Linked DNA regions of Drosophila melanogaster. The gene in region 3 interacts genetically with the main gene of each other region. Each region holds a gene or a part of one and is shown on either strand. Other genes may lie near its edges.

Region 1 (5,785 bases), 4.0 Mb from region 3:
TGTATCCTTCCACCTCCTTGAAAAATAACAGTTTACACAAGAAAACAAAACAGAACAGAAGCCACCCATAAATGCAGAATGGGGAACCACATGTGAAGTGTCCTGGCTTTGACTTTGACTTGAGGTGCATCCTCCAAAGTGCGCCAAAGTGAAATGCATTTCAGCAACAATTGTTGCCAGCTGTAAATAAACACGACTTGCCATGCCACGCCCCCTCTGACATGGCTGGCAAACAAAAAAAAAACAAAAACAAACACTGCAATGATAATAAGGTATATAATTTAATATCAATCTGACAGCCAAACACACACACAGAAGGCAACAAAGTGCCCCTGTGATGAGAACGATGCAACGTTTTATGCTGCAATTTCTGTTGTATCCGTTCTGGAAAGGTAAATACCCTATAATGGCTGCTACCGATTGGCAATACGTTGGATACAATGCAGAGACTTTGGGAAATTAATCCGAAAATGGAAAAACTGAGACTCACTTCCAGTGAGTACATACACGAATGTGTGTACGTGACCTTGTCATCGAAGTTAAGAATATTTAATGCTTTAACAACATTTTCAATTCAAAATAAATCAAAGAACGAAGAAAATTTAATTTTCAACAACTACATTTAAATTGGATATTATTTCAAAATCAACAAATTCTATCAAATCTTTGATTTGCGATTTTCAAACGATACTTATTTCCATGCCATTTCTTTTTAATTAATACAATATATTGTGTTTGCCAAATATACCATTTGTTTTTATCCATTTACCAATTAGAGCGAACTCTTGATAGTAGCTAAACTGTATTGATAAGGATAATCTAGAGTAAGCATATTAAGGCATTCCTTCATAATTATTATCCTTAAGAATAGGGTATCCTTTCATCACTCTCGTCTTGAAACTCGCTCTTCTGGGTGCTGCTTCCTTGTAATTTTTTCCTGCCGTCTTTTTCGTTGTTCGTGTGCTGCACATGCCCCGCCGCACTTCAGTTTTATACGTATACCTATAGATATGGGTGGTACATACATATATATGCATTGTCTGACTGTCTGGGGTACTCAAATGCCACTCTTTCGATGCGATGCGTTTCTTCCCTTGGATCCCACTTTGCTCCTTTTCACTTTTTTTTTCTATTTTGTTTGCTAACTAAATAAATGCAGTTTGTGTGTGCGCCTGCACTTGTTGTTTGTGTTGAGCCAAGCAGAACATTTCCATTTGAATGTTCTTTTAAGCGAAAACAATTCTTTTCTTTGTTTTGCCTTTGAGAATGTGAGTGAGTTTTGCAGGTACACGAGTATATGTAAGTGATTTGGCGAGCCCCGCTGATTTTGCTCGAGTGTTTAGCAAATTAGATCATGGATTTTTCCTCTGATTTCTCGGGGTTATCATCGCGGGGATATCATTTTTGGTACCCCGCCCACTCACCTGCACGCCCACGAAGGTGATTTTCTTTTGTTATGCATTCTTTCGTAGATTTCTTCGGTTGGGTTTTTATTTTACGTTTTTTATGCAGCAACTATAAAAAAGTTTTTACATTTTTTACGGCACTTATTTCAGCTTTCTCTCTTATTCAGCACTGCTCCAAACCCATTTTATTCTGTGGGTAACAAAAGAAGTTTTTTGACGGCGAGTGCATTATATTTTGGACTTACGGCGAGAAGTTGATTATGTTGATTTGTGGAATTGATTTGTCGGAGGGTAAAAAGGATTCAACAGACACTCCTTTACTCTATAAAAATTCCTGGCATGCGGTTCACAAAATGTTAACCGATTGTTCTTGCGGTCATAGGGAGTTGTAGGATGGTAAATTGATTTTCTTCAAGTACAAGAATAGTCGGGTGAGGAATTTTAAGTCTTGTTTAGTACTTATATAGTACGAATTCTTGCAAAGCTTGGATGTAAATGTTACAATTTTATTGTCATATTTTATAAATGCTTACTAAGTTGGAAAAAATTTTCTATATTTAATTTGTATCAACAATTAAAACTCTTGGCAAAGAAACGCAAAAAAAACAGGAAAAATAAGCCAAACAGGAAATTGGTCAAGGTCACGTCTAAGCCAAGGCAAGAAAAGTGAAGAAAAGGCAAAGCAAAGCAAAATCTCACATCGAATTTTTGTATAAGCCATTCGACTACTTCCCCTTTGCTGTTCGAAAATTCAGAAATTTAAAATTTGCATATGTTAGCTTTAAAAAGAAATATATATCATTCTACCATTTCTTTGTTATAAAATTAGCTTTAATGAAAATAATTTATCTTAGGTACTTCTAGCTCGACTTCCTAAAAATAAATTCTTTCCCCTTAAATTTGTTTTGTTTCATTTTCGAAAACTTTCCTGTCCTGGTTCGAAAAACGTAGGAAAACCACCCCATATAAATTCGAGCTTCAAACGTAACGGCGGGGTAAGTAACGTAATGGTAAAACGTATGTAACATGCCACAAGTGTGACGCTCTCTGCATTTTGTTTGAGGAAACGTTTACTGCACGTGATGAAAGTTGATATTGTCATCACAGAGAGGGCGACAGAGAGAGAGAGAGAAAGAGAGAAAGAGAGAGGTAGGAAAAAAGGGAGGGAAGATGGTAAAGAGAAAGCGGGCACAGAGGGTAGCTAATTCTCCCGCCGTTTCCCGGGTATAAATACGGGCGTCCTGCTGGCTGAGCTCTTCAGTCGTACGACAACTCGCCAAGAGTTCAGATCTGGAAAATCAGGAAATACCTTGCCACACATCGAAGTTAACAAGTGCCATTTTTACGTAACATTTTGAGCGACTCAAATATGGCCATTCCATTTTTCGAAGAAGAGCACGCCCCGAAATCGGAACCCAGTGGCGATCAAGTCGATAGCCCCATGGCTTTCTCCATAGACCCCGGACATGATCAAGTGGACTTTGAAGGACCTCCGTCTGCAGCAGAGGAACTCCCGCCACCAGGAGCAACAAGTGAGCCAGTTGCGCCTCCGAGTGCCGAGGAGCAACTGCTGGCCTGGAAATTCCTGGCCATCACCATGTGCAAGGTCCTGAAGCAATTTTACCAACAGCACAAGTCGTCCGGAAAATCCAGCAAACTAAAGGCCACCGTTCAAATACAACCGCAGGCGCAGTAAAAATTTCGAAAACCAACTTAAGCACCAACTAAGGCTCCTAAAAGCGCAACTTGTGATTACTTTACGTTGGTGAGAACTAGCGCAGCCCGAAAATTTCGAGAGAGAATGAGCGAGACAGTGACAGAGAAATGTGAATCAATTTCCCAAGGAAAACCCTAAAACAAGATTAACTTTTGATACATGTATTTTCTTTGCTGGAAATTAAGCACATAGTTTCTTATCCGTCGGGATACAACAAAATTTTAAAACTTTGGATAAGCGCAAATGTGATAAATAATTTTGCTAAAAAAATTTACAGTCCAAGTATTTGTTTAGTAAACTTATTTAAGTTAGTTTTACTTGTTTAACTGAATAAGTTAGATTCTCGTAGGTGGTCGGCCCAGTGCAAGAATAAGTGAACGAAAAATCCAAACATTCATATATTGGAAAATTGTCTCAAGAGATAAAAGCAAAATTTTGTAAGCAGTCGCTAGTTTTCAAATCGAAACCAACTTAGTTGATAAGTCAAACTATTCTACATGCTATAACTACAAATAGTTACAACTTTTTTACCAACAACTCTCTTGGTGTCTATTTATGGGGAAATTTAAATGATTCAACTTCCTAGGTAGAGTGCTTCTTAAACTTAGCAAATATATATGGAAATATATTTTTTAAAATTGAAACATATTTTTATATTTACTTTGCCGTCGATATATAAGCTGTGTACGTGTCAATCTAGTTTATAGATCTATTCTTATAAGCAATATGTGGCTAAGATTCCATGCGAAATAAATCGATGAAAAGGCGTTCTTCGCGTAACGAGCATAAACATAGTACAAGTTCAAAAGTAGAAATATTTACACACATAAATACTCCAAACTACACATTCTTTTAAGCAATTTAATGTAACTTAAGCTAAGTAAAGCAAATGGCATGAAATAAAAATATTATTGAATGGAAAAATACGCATTTTTAACTAGTGATGGGATGAACAATTCAAAAACGTTTATTTTCAGATTTTGGTCTGTTTGTGGTTTAGCAAAACAAACCCAAAGAATATTACATTTTATCGTCTAGAGTTTAATTCATATATAATTTTTATAACAAATGGAGCCTAACACAGCGAAAAACAAGACAACGAAATGTTAAGTGTAAATGTAAAATCATTTACAGTGAAATGTATAGTACTTGCTAATTTACCCAGAACTTTCGCTCCGTTGCTAGTCATAATAGACCTAATCATCGTTGATAATACTTTGCCACCTTGAAATGAGTGCCACTTTTACCCCTCAACCAAACAGATTGAAATGGTTACCGGCGGCAGAGATCAAAGTCGTTTTCTCACACAAACGACACTGAATAATTCCTGAAATTCTCTCATTCCGGTTTTCCGGACTCATACAATCGATGCTAAAAAATGTCGCGTGGCGCCACCCGACTGATTTTAAAATCTGCCTTTGGGCGAGGCTTGAAAAAAAGAGACTACTGAAATCTTTCAACTTTCCATTTTTAATACGCTTTGTATGGCGAATAATACGGGGAAAAGGATGCTGATGCTAAGCCGCTTTTTAATTTTCCAAAATCCAAATAGAAGATTCTTTTAAGCGCCGTCCACCATCAATCAATGAACGGACGGATCCATAATAATATCAATCAAGGCAAGAACTGGCAAAGAACAAATACCATTTGCCAAATAAACTGTTCCCCAGCCCCTGAAGATGATTTTAAAATTTTTTGATATTTTTCTTCCAGGCAGATAAGCAGAAGCCAAAGGATTTCCTTCTTTTTTTTGAAAATGCGCATTATGAGGACGGTTAACTGTCTGAATTCAATCAAATGTCCCCCCGGGAATTTGCACTTTTGTTTGCTCGAGCGTCCACACATGATATCGTATCCTTCATCCTTTGGCAACCCTTTCTCCGGGAGAAAGCGGTGAAAGGCTCAAGTGCATGTGTGTTTTGCGTGCGTCCAGCTGGGATTTCTATGGGGTGGAGTTAGGAATGGTAAAGTGACCCCCGTAAACAAACAGTTTTGGATTTTTTTAACATAAGCAACAGATTTACTTGTGCGTTTTAGAGGGTATGTGGAGGTAAATTAGAAGTAGCTAGATTATATTTGCTCAATTCTGCAACAGATACGAATTGCTTATACCAAGACAATAGTATTAATAGTATTAATTTCTTATACTGGGTATGCTCTTCATTACAGAAATATATTCCAAATTTATATTTATATCCAAAAAATTGTAATATCTTATATATTTCTTCCAATTTTAAAGAAGTACTCGTTTGTGCACTCCTTATGAAATTATTCAGTACCAAGTTGTCCGATCTACTTTAACAAAACTCCTCACTTTTGAAAAAATCTTCTACAAACAACCATATCATCAAGCATATACTTAGGTATCTGGCAATTTGAGTGCCTTTTGAGGCATTTTTAACTTAATTGAATGTACACAAACTTACTAAGCAAATCAATTGCTTTTCCTTATTTTTCCGCTTCTGTCCCGAGGGTAAGTAATGTTTGTAGAGCTCAAAGCGAACTCGAAAATATATAGAAAACAAGATTATTAAAAATATATTAGAGTTGCCTTAGCCCAAATGAAAGGGGGCAATGGTGGTTCACTTATTTTTCCTGCAAGCTCCGTTGGTTTTTATTTAGGAACGTGCTCAAGTGCAGATTCATTGCAATTTGGTTGTTC
Region 2 (5,445 bases), on a different chromosome or scaffold from region 3:
GAGCCAAAAAGTAGGGACACCAGTTGCGCGACCGACCGTATTCCTTAAGATCATCGATGCTGTAGACGCCGACCGGCAATGTGGACTCCTTGCCTTCCAGGCTAAATCCCTCAAAGTACTGGCCTACAAGTTCGCAGTTGAAATAATGGTTACATATGGATAACAATAGTCTTACAAATGGGCGTCTCGGTGTCCATCTCGTGCCGTTCGCGAATGTAGCTGGCAGTGAGTCCGTAACATTTACCGTCCACGGCCTTGCCCTCGCGCTCCTTACTGACCTCCGGATGGATGCACATGTTCTTCCTAGAGCTGAGCACCAGACCGGTGAAGGGTGGTGGATTGGGGCAGTGGCGCTCGTAGTAAACCATCAGGTTCTGCAGCTCGGCGATCACTTTCTCGATCTCCGGAACAGTACGCGAGCAGTAGATGAGCTTGCGCACCGTTTCCGGATGCTCCACCATGTAGGCAACGATCAGGGAGAGCAGCGTGGCCGTCTTGCCCGTTCCCGAGGGCATCTCCAACAGGCAGTGGCCCTTGGCGTCCAGGCTACGCTTAAGTTCCAGCATGTAGGCATATTGTTCCGGGTAGATGTACTCGTACGGAAAGTACACCAACAGGCCGTCCACGCTGAGCCTGTGGACTGGGTTGTTAAAGGAGTACTTTCATTTATCCCGTTCTGCCACTTACTTCATTATTCGCCTATTCCGGGATAATTCACAATTCCCTGTGCCGGCAAACTATCGATGGTACTATCGAGGTATAGAATTTGTACCATCGTTATCGATGGGGCTGTGAAAAATTTGCATGGATTGAGTACAAGTTTTGATATTTTTTTGGTCAACTTCTTTTTATTTTGTAACTCTGTGAACAGCGTAAAAATATTTGATGTTAGAGCAGAAATCTTATTTTTAACTGTTTGAAAATTAATAATAACTATTTAATATCTATGCATTTTAAAACTAAAAACATCAATTTCAGTAAGCAATATCTTATAAGTTTCGTTGAACAGTGTAGTAATATTTTTAGTATTTTTTTCTAGAGCATTGTGGTTTTTTAAACCCTTCAGCGAGGGTTACATTAATATTAAATACTAAAATTTAGACCAAAGTTTAGTTGCTTCAGTTTATTTATTTATCTAAATCCCACATATTTTCATAGCATGGACGACTTAAATCCGCTGGCGGGCACGGCTCACCTCCTGGAAGAGGTTGACAGTGAGTAAATCCGAATGAAAGGAAGGCCAGTCGTTGAAAACCGGCGCATTGCAGAGAAACTGATGGTACTTTTGAGAGACGGACGGACTCTGATTGGATACCTGCGGTCCGTGGACCAGTTCGCCAACCTGGTGCTGCAACGCACCATCGAGCGGATACATGTGGGCAACGAATACGGCGACATTCCTCGCGGAGTCTTCATCATTCGCGGGGAGAATGTGGTGCTACTGGGCGAAATAGTAAGCTTTACTCGATACTTTTTCAATATGACTGATTAACACCCTTTAAATATGCGTAAAAGGACCGTGAAAAGGAGCAGAAACTGCCACTCAAAGAGATATCCGTCGATGAAATCCTGGACGCCCAGCGTAGGGAACAGGAGCAGCGGCAGGAGAAACACCGCCTAGTATCCAAGGCACTAAAGGAACGAGGCCTGGCCGTAGATGCCAACATAATCAACGAGGACTTCTGCTAAGACTCCATTTTTTCCTAAGCACAAAGTTAGATTAAGCTCAAAAGATTTTCGTCTCTTTGTATATTTGTACTGCATTAAAAAACTATGTTAAAACCTATGTACATATTGCATGCAACCTGCTTAGCCTGATCCGCCCGCACCCGACCCCTTTCCGCACTCCTCGAGCAGTATGTACTTCTCTAGAATCTGGTACATCTCCACCTTGGCCTTGATCTTGTGCACGCGCGACAGTTGGCGCAAATACGCGGCAATCGACTTGCAAAAGAAGTCGTCCTCTGTTTCGCAAGTCTTTTGGGTGATGACGGCCGTGGGATTGGGTAATTCTGGGGCGGAATGCTCTCGCTCCTGATTCGCATTGGGCGGCATACAGACCAAGTAGTTCAGATCCGCGTGGTTAGACTCAATAGGCTCAGGTGCGGACGTCGCATTCGGAGCAGCGATTTCCGGATGAATTGTGACCACCTTGACCTTTTGCTCGCACTCCGCATCCCCCAGGAACTCATCGAAGCTCTCCTGTTCGGGCTCCTGCCCATCGTCCGCCTCCACGACCACCGAATACGTCTCCGATTGTGTGGTATGAGACTCCAGCTTAGCGTCGTAGTCGTGTTGCTCCTCGCCCTCATCGTAGGCGTGCGAACCTTGCTCCTCGATCAAGGTCTCTGTGTCAATAGGCAGGCGGGTACGACGCCGTCGCTGTAAATCAACCTTCATCCACCCGGTTGGCTTTTGTTCCCGATCCCGTTCGCGTCCTCTGCGCTCGCGTCTCTTGCGCACAAAGTCCCGCAGGAAGTCCATCTTCCGAAAGAAGTCATTGTGACCAAACTCGCCGGACGGATGCAGGCGCTTCTGCTTAAGCTCCCGCGAATAGCGATCCCGCAGACACGTCCACCGTCGCCGAGCGTCTGAGATGGAGATGTTTAGCAAATCCGCCACTTTTGCCCAGTCCTCCTCTTTGCGCTGCGACAGCCGAAAGGAGGGCAGCTGGGGATCGTACAGCGACGGCGTCTCGCGGATGGTTTGTATTAGGAGGATATCCGAATCGTCCAGAGGACGGTGGTTTGAGCTCATTTTAATTTGTTTAATATATGTTTAATATTGACCAGTGTTGCCAGATGTATTGTCATCGACACAATGCTAAAAAGATCGACACCGCCGATAGCGATTATTTTTAAAAGGTAGTACATTTAAGAAGATTTGATTTCATTTAAATTTATTTAAGGTCATTTTTATTTTGTTGTCATTATTTTTTTATATGAAACTTTTGGATTCCATAATGAAAATTCTATTTCGTTTTATTTTTTATAAATATTTGGAAAATTTTTTAATACCGAAACGTTATGCACCACATACGGTCACACTGCCATTAACAGCACAATTTCCAGAAATGCCTTGAAAATGTCAACTTTACAGGTCTGGCAACGCTTCAGGCTTTAGGGCAGCCATTTTTTTCACGCTTTGTAAAAAGTTTTTTTAAAAGCCGTGGAAACCGCAGAAAGGTCGAGAAAATTGTTTTTCGCCAGTTTTAAACGATTGTGTTGACCAACCAAAGTATGCAAAACTAAATATTGTGTGTGCGTGCCGTGAGTGAACCAAGCAATTGAACATGGAAACCGTGGTTGCCTTCAACAATGAGGTAAGCTATAGATGCATTAGAAACGAGGTTCGTTATGGAGCAGCCGGCGTGGTTGCACAATGTCCGCTTGAAGTCGGTATTCGGATTGTCCAATGTGCGGGAGGTATACAGATCCTGCTGGAGGCGCAGGCAGAGCACCGAACAGCACCGCTCAGGGTTGCTTTTTGGCCAGCACCCGATAACGATAACTCCATGTCCCAGATATCCGTAAACTATAGCCGTACTGTAACATCTATATTTCTCCTTAGCTCTCCGGACTCTATGACAGCCGACCGCCCATTTCCAAAGCGAAGATGGCCGCCATCACCAAGTCGGCGATGCGGGCCATCAAGCTGTATAAGCACGTCGTCCAGAGTGTGGAGAAGTTCATCTTGAAGTGCAAGCCGGAGTACAAAGTACCCGGGCTGTATGTAATCGACTCGATAGTGCGCCAGTCGCGCCACCAGTACGGTATGGACAAGGATCTGTTCGCGCCCCGATTCCAGCGTAATCTCACGGAGACCTTTGCCAACTTGTTCCGGTGCGCTCCGGAGGACAAGAGTCGCATCATCCGGGTACTGAACCTGTGGCAGAAAAACAACGTCTTCAAGTCCGAGGTCATTCAGCCGATCTTCGACCTGGCCGACCCAAACCACCCAATCTACCACCAGATGCCTCCGGTGGGTGGCAGTGGAGGACAGGGCGGCGGCGTGGGTCCAGGACCCAGCAGCAGCGGTGCTCTTAGCCTGGCGGACATATCGAGCGGTCCGAACGGTCTAAACAGCTCCGGAATGGAGATAAGCATGAACAGCTCCGGGGGCGACGATAAGATGGGCGGTGCCATGCCCGACTTGTCGGTAAGTGATGCTTTCGGTTGAGGCTTCTACAGGTGTCTAGTATTGGATAATGGCTTAACTAACATCGTCTACAATTCTGCTGCATTTACATTTCTCTGTCTCTCATGTCTTGCCCACTAACCGCCCATTTTGCCCTTCGCCCAATCGCTAGCTGGGCCATGAGAAGTTCGGCGGTGGCAGCAGCAGCTCCAAGCGTCACTACTCGGAGCAACACTATTCCAAACGACAGTCGGTGGTCTCGTGCTCGTCGAAGACCAGCAAGTCGCATCATCACAAACGGGAATATGTCAAGAGCTCGCACGACATTGACTACCAGGTGCGGGAGATCATCGAGGAAGAAGATGAAGGCCTGCAGATGCTGATGGCAGATGATCACCACTGTATGGGCGACGACTCACCGCCCACTTCTTCAAACCTGTTAGACGTATGGCGAACCCCATTAACACATCTCTTCATTTAGATAGTTTTGTTTATCTTAAGTTTCTATTTGTTGCTTTTGTTGCTCACATTAGATCGATCCCATTTTGAATAACCTTTTAAATAACTCTTTCAGGAGAAGAAGATCAAGCAGCTGCTAAACAATCCGAATGTGCTGCGGCAGCTCCATACGCTGCAGAACTTCCAAAATTTGAAGCCGCAGGAGGAGAACCAGAAGCATCGCTATCAGGACGAGGCACTGCAGCAGCATTTCCAGAACGTAATGAAGGTACATCTTATGATTTCATGACGATGTACATATTTTCATTATGATTTGCTTTCAGGGAAATGCTGGTATGCCGCCGGGCATGGGCATGGGCATGAACATGAACGACAGCATGGACCTTAACAAGGATGTCGAGTTCATATCGGAGCAACAGACCATAGAGGTATACCCTTCTACTTTTCCAATCTATCTTAGTTCCTGGGGTCCGACTTGTGTATGCTTTTCACCAAGACTTCGCCATTAATTTTGGTCTAAAGTATAAACATATTAGATGTAAAACGGGTGATACTATTTGCCTTGTGCTGACGTGCAGTTAATCCTGGAAATGTGTTCAATATGTTGTTATAGCTGATGGGATATTAGCGTGTTCGAATCCAAATTGATTCAACTAGTTGTAACGGGGTGGTCTTGCACTATTTAATCAATAACTTTAATACTATATATCTTGAATATGCAAACAATTCAATTCCCAATCCATTTAAAATTAAATTTTATTTTGTTGTAAAAAAAATGTTTAAAATCAAAAGATGATGCTTTTGGGCAAACCCTAAATCAGTTTCATAAGTCGATCTATATGTCCCCAA
Region 3 (9,665 bases):
TGAACGGACATGTCGGGTACGGCGACAGCGTCGGCCAACACGGACATATCCGGAATCATGTTCTGGAATAGGATCTGCATCTTCTGGACGATGGCTAAGCGGATACAACAAAAAATAATTTTTGTAATTGGATTACTTACTGTTCATTTTGCAACTAGATAGAACGACTATCAGATACCCTTTACTCAAACAGGAAGAATTCAAAACACTTTGTGGCATTTCGATAGAATGGGCAAGACCGAGTAGAGTTGGCAGGGAAATTTTAGTAAATAAACTCAGTCCGAGATTCATAAGTCAGACACACGGACGGACGGTCAGACGGACATGTTCATACTTCTATACTTTTTAGCGATTATAATGATTTACGAGTAGCTTTCGAATTTAGTTGATTACCTTGTCTAGACAGCTGGTGATTAGTCTTGATATGTTAAAAATTTCAAATTTCCAAAGACACCTTGTTTTTGTTTTTAATAAGAAATGCGTATGTATTTCTGTGCAAGTCGTTCTATCCAAATGCTAAGCGTAATCCATCCAGCGAATTGTACCATCTGGTATAACTAATACTGTCTCTTACCTTCCATCTGGGGGAGATTATGGGTAGAATGGATCTCGTAGGCCACAAAGTGCCTAGTAGGTGTGCGTGGCACGATTCCACCGCTTACCAGCGGAAGGATGAGGAGGGCACAAATGGCAAAGAGTTTCATGGTGATGTCTCGAATTCGACTGAACCTCGCGGCCACTTGAAGAGAGGTTATATAGCTGCCTTATCTGGGCACTGACTCCCTTATTTACGGCCCATTCGCGGTAGACCTCTCCAGATTAGATTCCCAGCCAAATGTGCAAAAAGAACAGCATATTGAATGGTACTGGTACCTTGTAAATCTTTACCGGTGGTTCACCCAAAACGGGAAGTATTTCAATAACGTTGGAATTACGTTTGATCAAATTTGCAAATTTATTTTTTTATTCTATTTATAAATACAAGAAGGTTTTATGTTATTACTGAATTGTTATGTTTAGGCTTTTCTTAGCTGCGTCAGCGTTTTCATATCTAATCTTCTGTTATCGATGATGTGTTACTTCGTAGTTAGGTCCACGTATATATCCTGATAGTGGTAATTGCATCAGTTTGTGTGCTTTGGAACTGTTAATTCCACCGACTCACTGATGTATTGATAAAAACAATTTAATATTATTGATCAGTATCTAAATACTCTGAAGCTTTGGAAATACTCCAGAATCGGTACCCGAACCAAAGATATTGTCATAATTATTAGAATTAATTAATTTTCATAATTTTACTTATGTCTCTGCTAGAACAACGTCTGGAGCACCCACCCTCCAGTTTGGTTCACCAACCAAACTAATTTTCAAATTTTCGTGATGGTTGTTTCGCATAAATGTACTGCAATATATTTCACTACCTAACCAAAGACATTAGAATAATATTCTAGTGACTTTGACCTAACTATGTATAGAAATATATTTCCATAAAAACATATTTAAATATTTTTTCAGTTGTCCTTTTTGTTTAACTTATAAGGGCAATTTTTATTCGATATATATAACTAGAAAATGTGAAATAAAGTTAAGATTCGATTTCTCATTAATCATTTTTCTTGTGCAAATTTTGAACAAAACTGTCGGTTTTCTATCGTCTAAAAAATTATGAACAAAATAGAAAAAGTTAAAAACTTTTTCCAAAAAAAAAAAATTCGAAATTCTTAAAATTATAGGGAACTATAAAAAATGTTTAACGCAACATTATAAGTGCATTAGATAGCTTAACAATTTTTCAACGTGTTATTTACGATTTAATGAATCTGTCTTAATTCTTTACTCTTTAATCAATACTCGGAAATTTCTTTGGCCTGGTCTTAAACACCGAGTATGTCATTGTGATCCTCCGCGGGATCCACTGGCTCTCGCTTAAGGTTGTCCAGCGAAAAATCATCCGCAGCAATAGTGGCTGCTGTCTCCGAGGATTCAATTTTATTTCTCTGCACCGTCTGACTGGCCTGCTGAAGAAGGTCCTGAAAGGAGGTTTTGGTATTAGCCACCACCAAGCTGCGCTTCAGCGCCGAGGTAGGCGAACTTTCTTCGCCGTTTACAGAGGCCGTTGCAGCGGGCTTGGGCTGGGCAAAGTCATTGAAGGCAGATCCTTGCACACTGGCAATCTGCGGAGTTTTCTGAAGCAGGGAGGCACCGCCAGTGGGTGAGATTTGCTTTTGGTAAGCAGGAACGCAGCCCACAGACTTCCTCACTAGTAAACTGCTGCCTTGCGATGCAGTGGTCATTTGACTAGCACCTACGGCAGAATACCGAGGGCGTTGGGTAGGTGGCACCATTCCATGCCCAGCTGCTATCAATCGCCGCTTAAGCATAGACGCTTCCATAGCGCTAGCATTGGAGTTTATGGTGCTGCCATTGGCGGAACCTTGGCTAGCGTTTTGGGCATTGGGTGGATTGCTGCTACCGCACACGGAATACCTCCTGGACATGGCGCGGATATTCTCGGAGGCAGCTCCCTTGGCCGTCGTCGGTCCATTGCCTTGTCCAAAGAAACTGTTGATCAATGAACCCTGCGGCCTTATAGCAGCCACTACAGCAGCTCCTTTGGGACTGCCTGTTGGGGCGTGGTTGGCCACCTTGACCACACTATGGTTACTGTCAACACTATCCTTGCGCAAAATTTCCTGAGTGGCACTCAAGTTGCCATTCGGTTTACCACCCATAGCCGCTAACCTGAACAACCTCTTATCTAGTCCACCCGCCGGGCTGGTGGGGGCGATCTCTTGTCCAGTGCCTGGCTTGTATACCCTCTGAATGACTTGGCGTGTCATATTTGTTCGGGGTCCTCGCTGTACCTCAGGAGCAATTCCACTGCGGGAAGCTGTAGCTATAGCTGTAGCTTCTCCTGGCGGTCTAATTAGGGTAACCTTAGCCGCGCTCACCATGCTGACTAGCTCCCTGACCAATCGAAGTTCCGGATCTGTAATGTGCTCAAATCCTGAAGGAGTGTTTATATTAAAATGCTGCAGTTCTTTAGACGTTGGGAAATCGGTAGCATCATCAAAGGTTTCCATCAGCGCTTGGAATACTTTCTTCTTAAAGTGCATCTTCTGACGGGGGTTCATTTCCTGCATCTGGGGCTTGATCATTTCGAGAAAGTAATTATCGGAGAAAGGATTCTGGACTCCGGTTTGAGTGCCTCGCTCAGTCATTTTCAATTGGGTTATACTCTTTCCGACCGGAACGGATGTTCCAGCTGTGGTGGTTGTGGGTATATTAGTTATCACCGCACCAGAGGCACCAGTGGTGGCCTTGCTGCTGCTGCTGGTGCTAGATGAATTCGGACTGTAGCTTATTACATTAACGTTTTCAGTAGTTTTGATGCTGTTGTTACTGGTACCTTTGGTAATGGTATTAGTAGTAGCGGTGCTGCTGCTTATGCTAGTAACGACGTTGCTTTTGATAGCAATATTATTTATGTTACCACTCGCGACGGAGCTGGTGGGCTTGCCAATGGTCAGGACTTTGGTGTTTATGGGCGACTGTGGCTTGGTCTGCGTTTCCGGCGCAACTATTCGCTGCACCATAGGTAGCTTCTTGGGCGGCCTACCCACGGACCTCCTTTGTGGTGGACCAGATCCCTGCGGGTTAGCGATCGCTTCATCGGTCGTCGGAAAGATCAGCGTCTTCTGCTGTTGTTGAGTCTTGAGTTGGTTTTGATTTATATTCACAACTCCAGATGGCACCGCAGGTCTCGGGAAGATGTCATCCCGATGACTGATTTTCGTGATCTGGACTGGCCCGGATGGCGGCTTGTTGATCGGCTGAGACCTGGGGACTGGAGTCATTTTCACAGGCGATGTGGAGCTCCTTACACTGTGTACAGCCGCTAAACTCATAGATTTCCTGCGCTGCAATCGCGTCATTCGTTGTGCTTGGCCTGGTTTCTGGATCGGTAAATCCCTTATGCCAGCGAAACTTATTGATGCACGGGCTGCGCGACGTGGACGTCGGGTTGGAGAAGTAGTGTCGCTGCCTGTGACGCGTTTTTCACCATCCCTACCATATTCATCGCCACTATCTTCCATAGCCGTTTCCAGAGGATCCCCGGAAATAGATTTTGAAGCCTTGGATTCAGCAAACGAAGACGTCGAATTCTTTCTGCCAATAATTAGCAAACGAGGATCTCTGGTTTGCTTGACAAAGAACTCCGGCTGGCTAACAGTTGAGTCGGTGTTATTCTTCTCTAGAGACTTCTCCGGCGTTAACTCCTTTTCCTGATTCGATTGTTCCAAGTCAAAATCGAAACCTTCCAGATCTTCTAGGTGCTCCTCGTCCATGCACTCGTCGTCTTCATTATCAGACTGCAGAAAACTATCGAGTTCAGGAACCTTCTCTGGTTCGTCCGATTCCTCCAAATCATTCAGCTTCTCTTCAGCACTTTTCTTCCTAGATCGCTGTTTATCTCCAGGATTTTCCCAATTTTCTCTCTTGTCTTGGGACGATTTTTCCTTACGAACTTGACTTGCCAGCTTGACCTCCTTAACTAACTTGCTTGTCGATGATGCGCGTTCTTTTAATGACGCCTGAGCATGATGATCCACGCCCTCGCTGTCTCTATTGTTATCCCTGTCCTTGTCCGATGATACGCTGCGGTCATCGTCGGCAGCCATGTCGTCAGCTATGTTTAGATGGCGGTCCAAAAAGCGCAGCTCATCGGCCAGCGGATAAGCCAAACGACGCTGGCCATTTCGTCGCCGGTTGGCGTCGGCGTTGCACCAGCGGGTATAGTCATTTCGCAGCTGACGCCAGCGTCGCTTGCATTTTTCCACTGCAAGAGGGAACAAGAGGGAAATGATAAGGCTAGGTAAGAAGATATGATACGTAATATATATCAGGCAACAGGTAGCGGCCCAACCTTTACTTCTCAATAGCATAACACCCCCTGATTGCCCGGAAAATTCCACTTTAATCTTAGCTCATAAAACTTTGTGTGCATTTTACATGAACAGGTAATAAGAGCTCAGGAATGCTTATTAATAATGGGAAGAGACACTAGTTAAATTATTTTTAATTTCAAAAAACCAACATTGTACATGGTTCCGTAAATGCAAGTTTCGCTTGAAAGTATGCTATGTATGAATATCTAAATGAGTATAAATGAGTATTCGGTGGCGAGTACATGCACTGCAGTTTATATATAATTTTTTAGCTGCCTGAAGGTAGCAGTATTTAATAATTAAGCTATACATGTATGTAAATTTTTAAAAATAAAAATAAAAGCACTGCAGTGTGTAACTGCTAGTCACAAAATCGGGGCATCCAGTACGCACCGCGAACCCTGAATCACGGGTCCTACAACCCGGATGGCACATTACTTGTTTTTAATAAGAATACACTAGATCTTGGAAATATATATAAATTTTGGATTACATTTATTAAAATCGAAAAACTATATTTTCAATACCAACAGTCGGAAAATGATTAGCTAATTAATGGTCTTAATGGTCTAAATATGGTCTTCGGTATTAGATATTTCCATATTATTTTTTAATTGATCAAATTCGTATGGCTCTTTCCATTGGAGGAAGTGGCAAAATTGATTTGGAGTAATAGACAAGAAATTCTTAGCTTCTACGTGCCAAAACTGCTTCTTAGTTATCTGCCTTTATACTCGCCGATTAATATGGTTTGTAACAGTATGTAACTAACTACGCTGCGGAAGGTTATTTTCAATTACCGCGGCCAAAATCTGACAAAACTGACACATGAAATTTTGTGTTCGGTGCCATTTCAATTCTTGTCCTTGCATAAGGATAGTTCAAATAAAAATCGGGTCATAAAAAATAAGCTTTTTTCTAGCCAAACATAACAATTTTTTAAAGTGATAAAATAATATCAGCTATAACATATACAAGAAAAATTGTAGGAAATTACTTTATATTTTTAAGACAAAGCATTTTTGCAAAAAATTAATTTACAGTGCAATAAATCACCACAAAAACAAATAATAAGAGAATGAATAATGGAAGTGGGAAGCTTTATAATGCATATAGATATGGCATATAGATAGATATTGGGGAGTCAAATGAGAAAATTTTAAAAAAACTGTTCAAAAAGTCAATATAAATTTACAAAACTAATTAAAAATTATGAAAAAACAAACTTTCGCTGCGTCTAAGTCCCTTTAATCTATATGTTTAATTTGAACCTTTTTGTTTCTATAGTTCCTGAGATCGACCTTCATACCAGTTGCATACATACTTTGCAACGAATCCCTTCCAACGTATACCCTTTAAATCTACGAGTAAGGGGTATACAAATTAGAAGCGTCCATTTATCTGCATGACCATACATGACCATATATATTTATATAAATATATATATATGCAGATTTCCGACATACATACATGGGAACGTACATGGATGTACATATCATACATATTTATAAGGCGTGCAGGTTTCCGACGCCCAAACTTCTAAGATACGTTTTAATTTGTTAGTTAACAAAACCTGTAGACATTGCTGAAACACCCTTTATCTGATATCCAAACACATTACTTAAAAAATAGTTGTGTTAAGGAATCGTGTAAAGTTTAGTAAAAGGTGTCAGAAACCACGTGGAAATAATCGCAATCAAATTGAGAATCATACTTAAATATGTACATGCACGTGTGTATGTACATATGTACACTAAAAAGGATTTTTCTTTCTTTTGCGATATATAAATAAAACTTACAGCAAGAATTCTCGAATAAGAAGTCCCCCATCATTGGCAATATTTTTTCAGTTCTCAAATGAAAAAGAGCCAACTTATATTGTACTGCTCGAAAAGTTTGGCCAAAAGATCTTTCCAGGGAAATATATATGGGTCAATCGATATACACCGACAACAAAATCAGAGATGCATGGATAAATGGAACTACCCACTCATAATATACCAATATAATACAATATACCAATTTTCTAAGGTTAAATTTTACTCAGCTAATGGGCGATTAGTGTTACCAGTGTTACCAAAACGTGCAGAAGGATTCAAATCATTTAAAAAAAATTTATAAAGCTAATAAGAATTAAATGAAATGGATTTGGCTACTGAATAGACTAGATATTATTATTTGTCATATTTTGGTTTTTCTGTATTTAATTTATTTATTTTTAAATCCTTCTAAAATAATGTAATATTCAAATAAGACATTTTTTTAATATGAAATAACAAGCTTGTTGGAGAATTATAAATTATAAAATGTTAAATTAAAAAAATAATAATAACAACAAACGAAATAACTTTGTTTAGTTTTTACCATGCAATTATTGCAGTTGCCAAATAACTAATATAAATTACTTTCCAGCTATTTACAAAAATTATGTCACAGCAAGAAGCAATTTCATCCCAAACGACTACGCATTCAACAGGAGACTCGTTATATTCGAATTAATCGATGCCAGCTGCTTTGTGATGGCATACATGGCGCTGCCAACTCGCACACAACTATCGACGGCCGATAATTCGGGGACGACTGACTGTTGTGCGCGCGTTGACGCTGTGCAGCACTGGCAGAAAACTACGCAACGTCGATTGCTATCCCGCTCGCACTCACGACTCACCCGACTCTCCAACTTCGGAGGCAACCATGTCCCAGGCGTTCTCACTCGGCAGGCGCTTCCTATAGTTTTCGTCGGTACGATCATAAAGCGCAGTCTGCTTCTCCACTGACCGCAGCAACATCAGGTTCACCTCAGAGGCGGCGCTCATCGCTAGTTCACTTTGCAAGAATCCAATCGAGAGAGCTCGCTTCGCCAGGAATTTATCGGTTTTGTGTTATGCTACAAACGCAAACGCAATTCACACAATCACAACACACGCGCGCAGCAGCTGAGACTAAAAACGGCGACCGACTGCAGCGAAAACTAAAAGCGAGTATTGAGCACACACACACAGCCAAGTGAGAGTGTGAGCAGAGAGCGGCGCCTTGCGTTGCAGGGAAAAGCGAGTTGGCAGGCCGAACGGTCGTTGACGAGGGTTGACCAAGGTGGCCCCGGATAAATTTATTTTTTACCTGTCGGGCTAGACTATAATATTTTTTTACGTTTATAAATAATGTTTTTTACGCGTTGTTCATAATTCTCAAAACCGCTCAACCTTGTTTTCCAGTTTCTCTAAGATTTGTTAGCATTTATCTTAAAATAAAATAACTTCATTTGACAGCCAATACAAATATGAAATATTTTATTTTGTACATTAATTTAACCAAAATCGTAATATTCTTGAATAATTTTTATAATTTACAACATTTAGGGGTGGTCATTAATTAATTGGTAAATGCGTTGGCAGCACCTCCAGCGATCAAATGGCACTGCCAACACCAACTGCTATACTATTGCATTAAGTCTGGCAGTGCTGTCTACTTTGAGTGAGTGTGCCTTTCATTGTATGTGTGAGATCCAGTGGCATGTCAATTCTCTCTCAGAGAGGGTTGTATGCTGCTCGAATGGTAACCCCCGCTGATTTGCGAAGAGAATGACTACGCCTCTGGCTTTCCGTTTGTTGTGGCTCCTTTCTTTATTTATTTTGCCGGTGTTTTATATTCTCCGCCCGTTAAAGATTCAAATGTCCAATTCGAATCAGTCTAGTGCTCATGTGCTTTAAAATCAAGAACAATTGCTATTTGAAATTGCAACATTCATTTACAACTGCATCACTTGTTGGCAGCAGCACGAAATCGCAGTGTTCAAAGTTGCTAAACACTTGTAATAGCAGCAACTCCGGCGTCCACGCCAACAACTGCCGCGTGCACGGAAGCAACGAGCGGCTTGAGCCCGAACTTAATAAGCCAAAACTCGTGATAAAAGCACTGACATCGATTAATTGGAGCATTTTTAAACCTAATTCACGTAAGTTTAAACGAAAGATCTGGTTTCAGAGAAAATAACTGTTGTTGAAAGCGGAGCAGAGAAGCAAAGTAGCGGCAAACAGCTGTTGCACGGTCAGGCGACACATGTTTCAGATTCGATTTCGGGTCTTCTACTTTAACTCTATTAATTATATTAATTAATTAAATTTGCATATTTAGTTTTTATATATGAAATGAATACACGCCGTCGGTCCATAGCTCCACCACCGAACGTTTACGCCATCAATGCCAAAATATGTCATTTGGTGAAACTACATCCTTGTCTTTACGATCGTCACGATGACAACTACTTGCGGAAATCGACTGTGAAAAATGCGTGGAAGGAAATATCCAATGAGATGCGAAATTCGGGTGGGTTTTTATCTATATTTCGACATATTGCATATTAACTAAATTTACTTTAATTATTAAATTTACATTTCATTAGGAGATGTTTATATTTTTATAAGCACGATTTTACTATGTCGATACATAATATAAAATAAAATATAATCTCTTATAAAATCTTACAATTTATATTATATAAATATTATATAATATTATCTTACAATCTTATTGACTGCTATTGATCATTTCAGTTAAAAGCTGCAAGGAACGTTGGCGCAACATTCGCTCCAGCTATGCCCGCTCAATAAAGTTGCATCACGGTGCGAATACGTACTATCTTAACAGCGAGCTGAAGTTCCTGCAAAAGCACATCACTCCCGGAGTGCCCGTTCCGCTCAGAGGTCGTAGGTC

Evidence for each region. Genes that interact genetically often act in the same process or in processes that back each other up.
Region 1: of stwl (region 3) and skl, changing one suppresses a phenotype caused by changing the other (phenotypic suppression), as found in Drosophila melanogaster (one study listed by BioGRID).
Region 2: of stwl (region 3) and hng1, changing one enhances a phenotype caused by changing the other (phenotypic enhancement), as found in Drosophila melanogaster (one study listed by BioGRID).

Annotation. Positions count from the first base shown.
Region 1 is NT_037436.4:18,436,818-18,442,602, reverse strand, and holds skl (sickle), read left to right. Parts: upstream 1-2,660; 5' UTR 2,661-2,775; coding exon 2,776-3,102; 3' UTR 3,103-4,042; downstream 4,043-5,785.
Region 2 is NT_033778.4:21,166,309-21,171,753, reverse strand, and holds hng1 (hinge1), read right to left. Parts: upstream 2,825-5,445; 5' UTR 2,758-2,824; coding exon 1,810-2,757; 3' UTR 1,744-1,809; downstream 1-1,743. Other genes in the region: Xpd (xeroderma pigmentosum D), read right to left, coding at 1-123, 176-633, 688-692; LSm1 (uncharacterized protein), read left to right, coding at 1,160-1,214, 1,269-1,453, 1,516-1,689; Isha (insulator su(Hw) mRNA adaptor), read left to right, coding at 3,293-3,322, 3,571-4,158, 4,310-4,582, 4,712-4,864, 4,920-5,024.
Region 3 is NT_037436.4:14,401,995-14,411,659, forward strand, and holds stwl (stonewall), read right to left. Parts: upstream 7,946-9,665; 5' UTR 7,769-7,945; coding exon 7,621-7,768; intron 6,853-7,620; exon of another isoform or gene 6,786-6,852; coding exon of another isoform or gene 6,752-6,785; intron 4,844-6,751; coding exon 1,878-4,843; 3' UTR 936-1,877; downstream 1-935. Other genes in the region: CG3868 (uncharacterized protein), read right to left, coding at 1-94, 575-704; CG3919 (uncharacterized protein), read left to right, coding at 9,101-9,278, 9,506-9,665.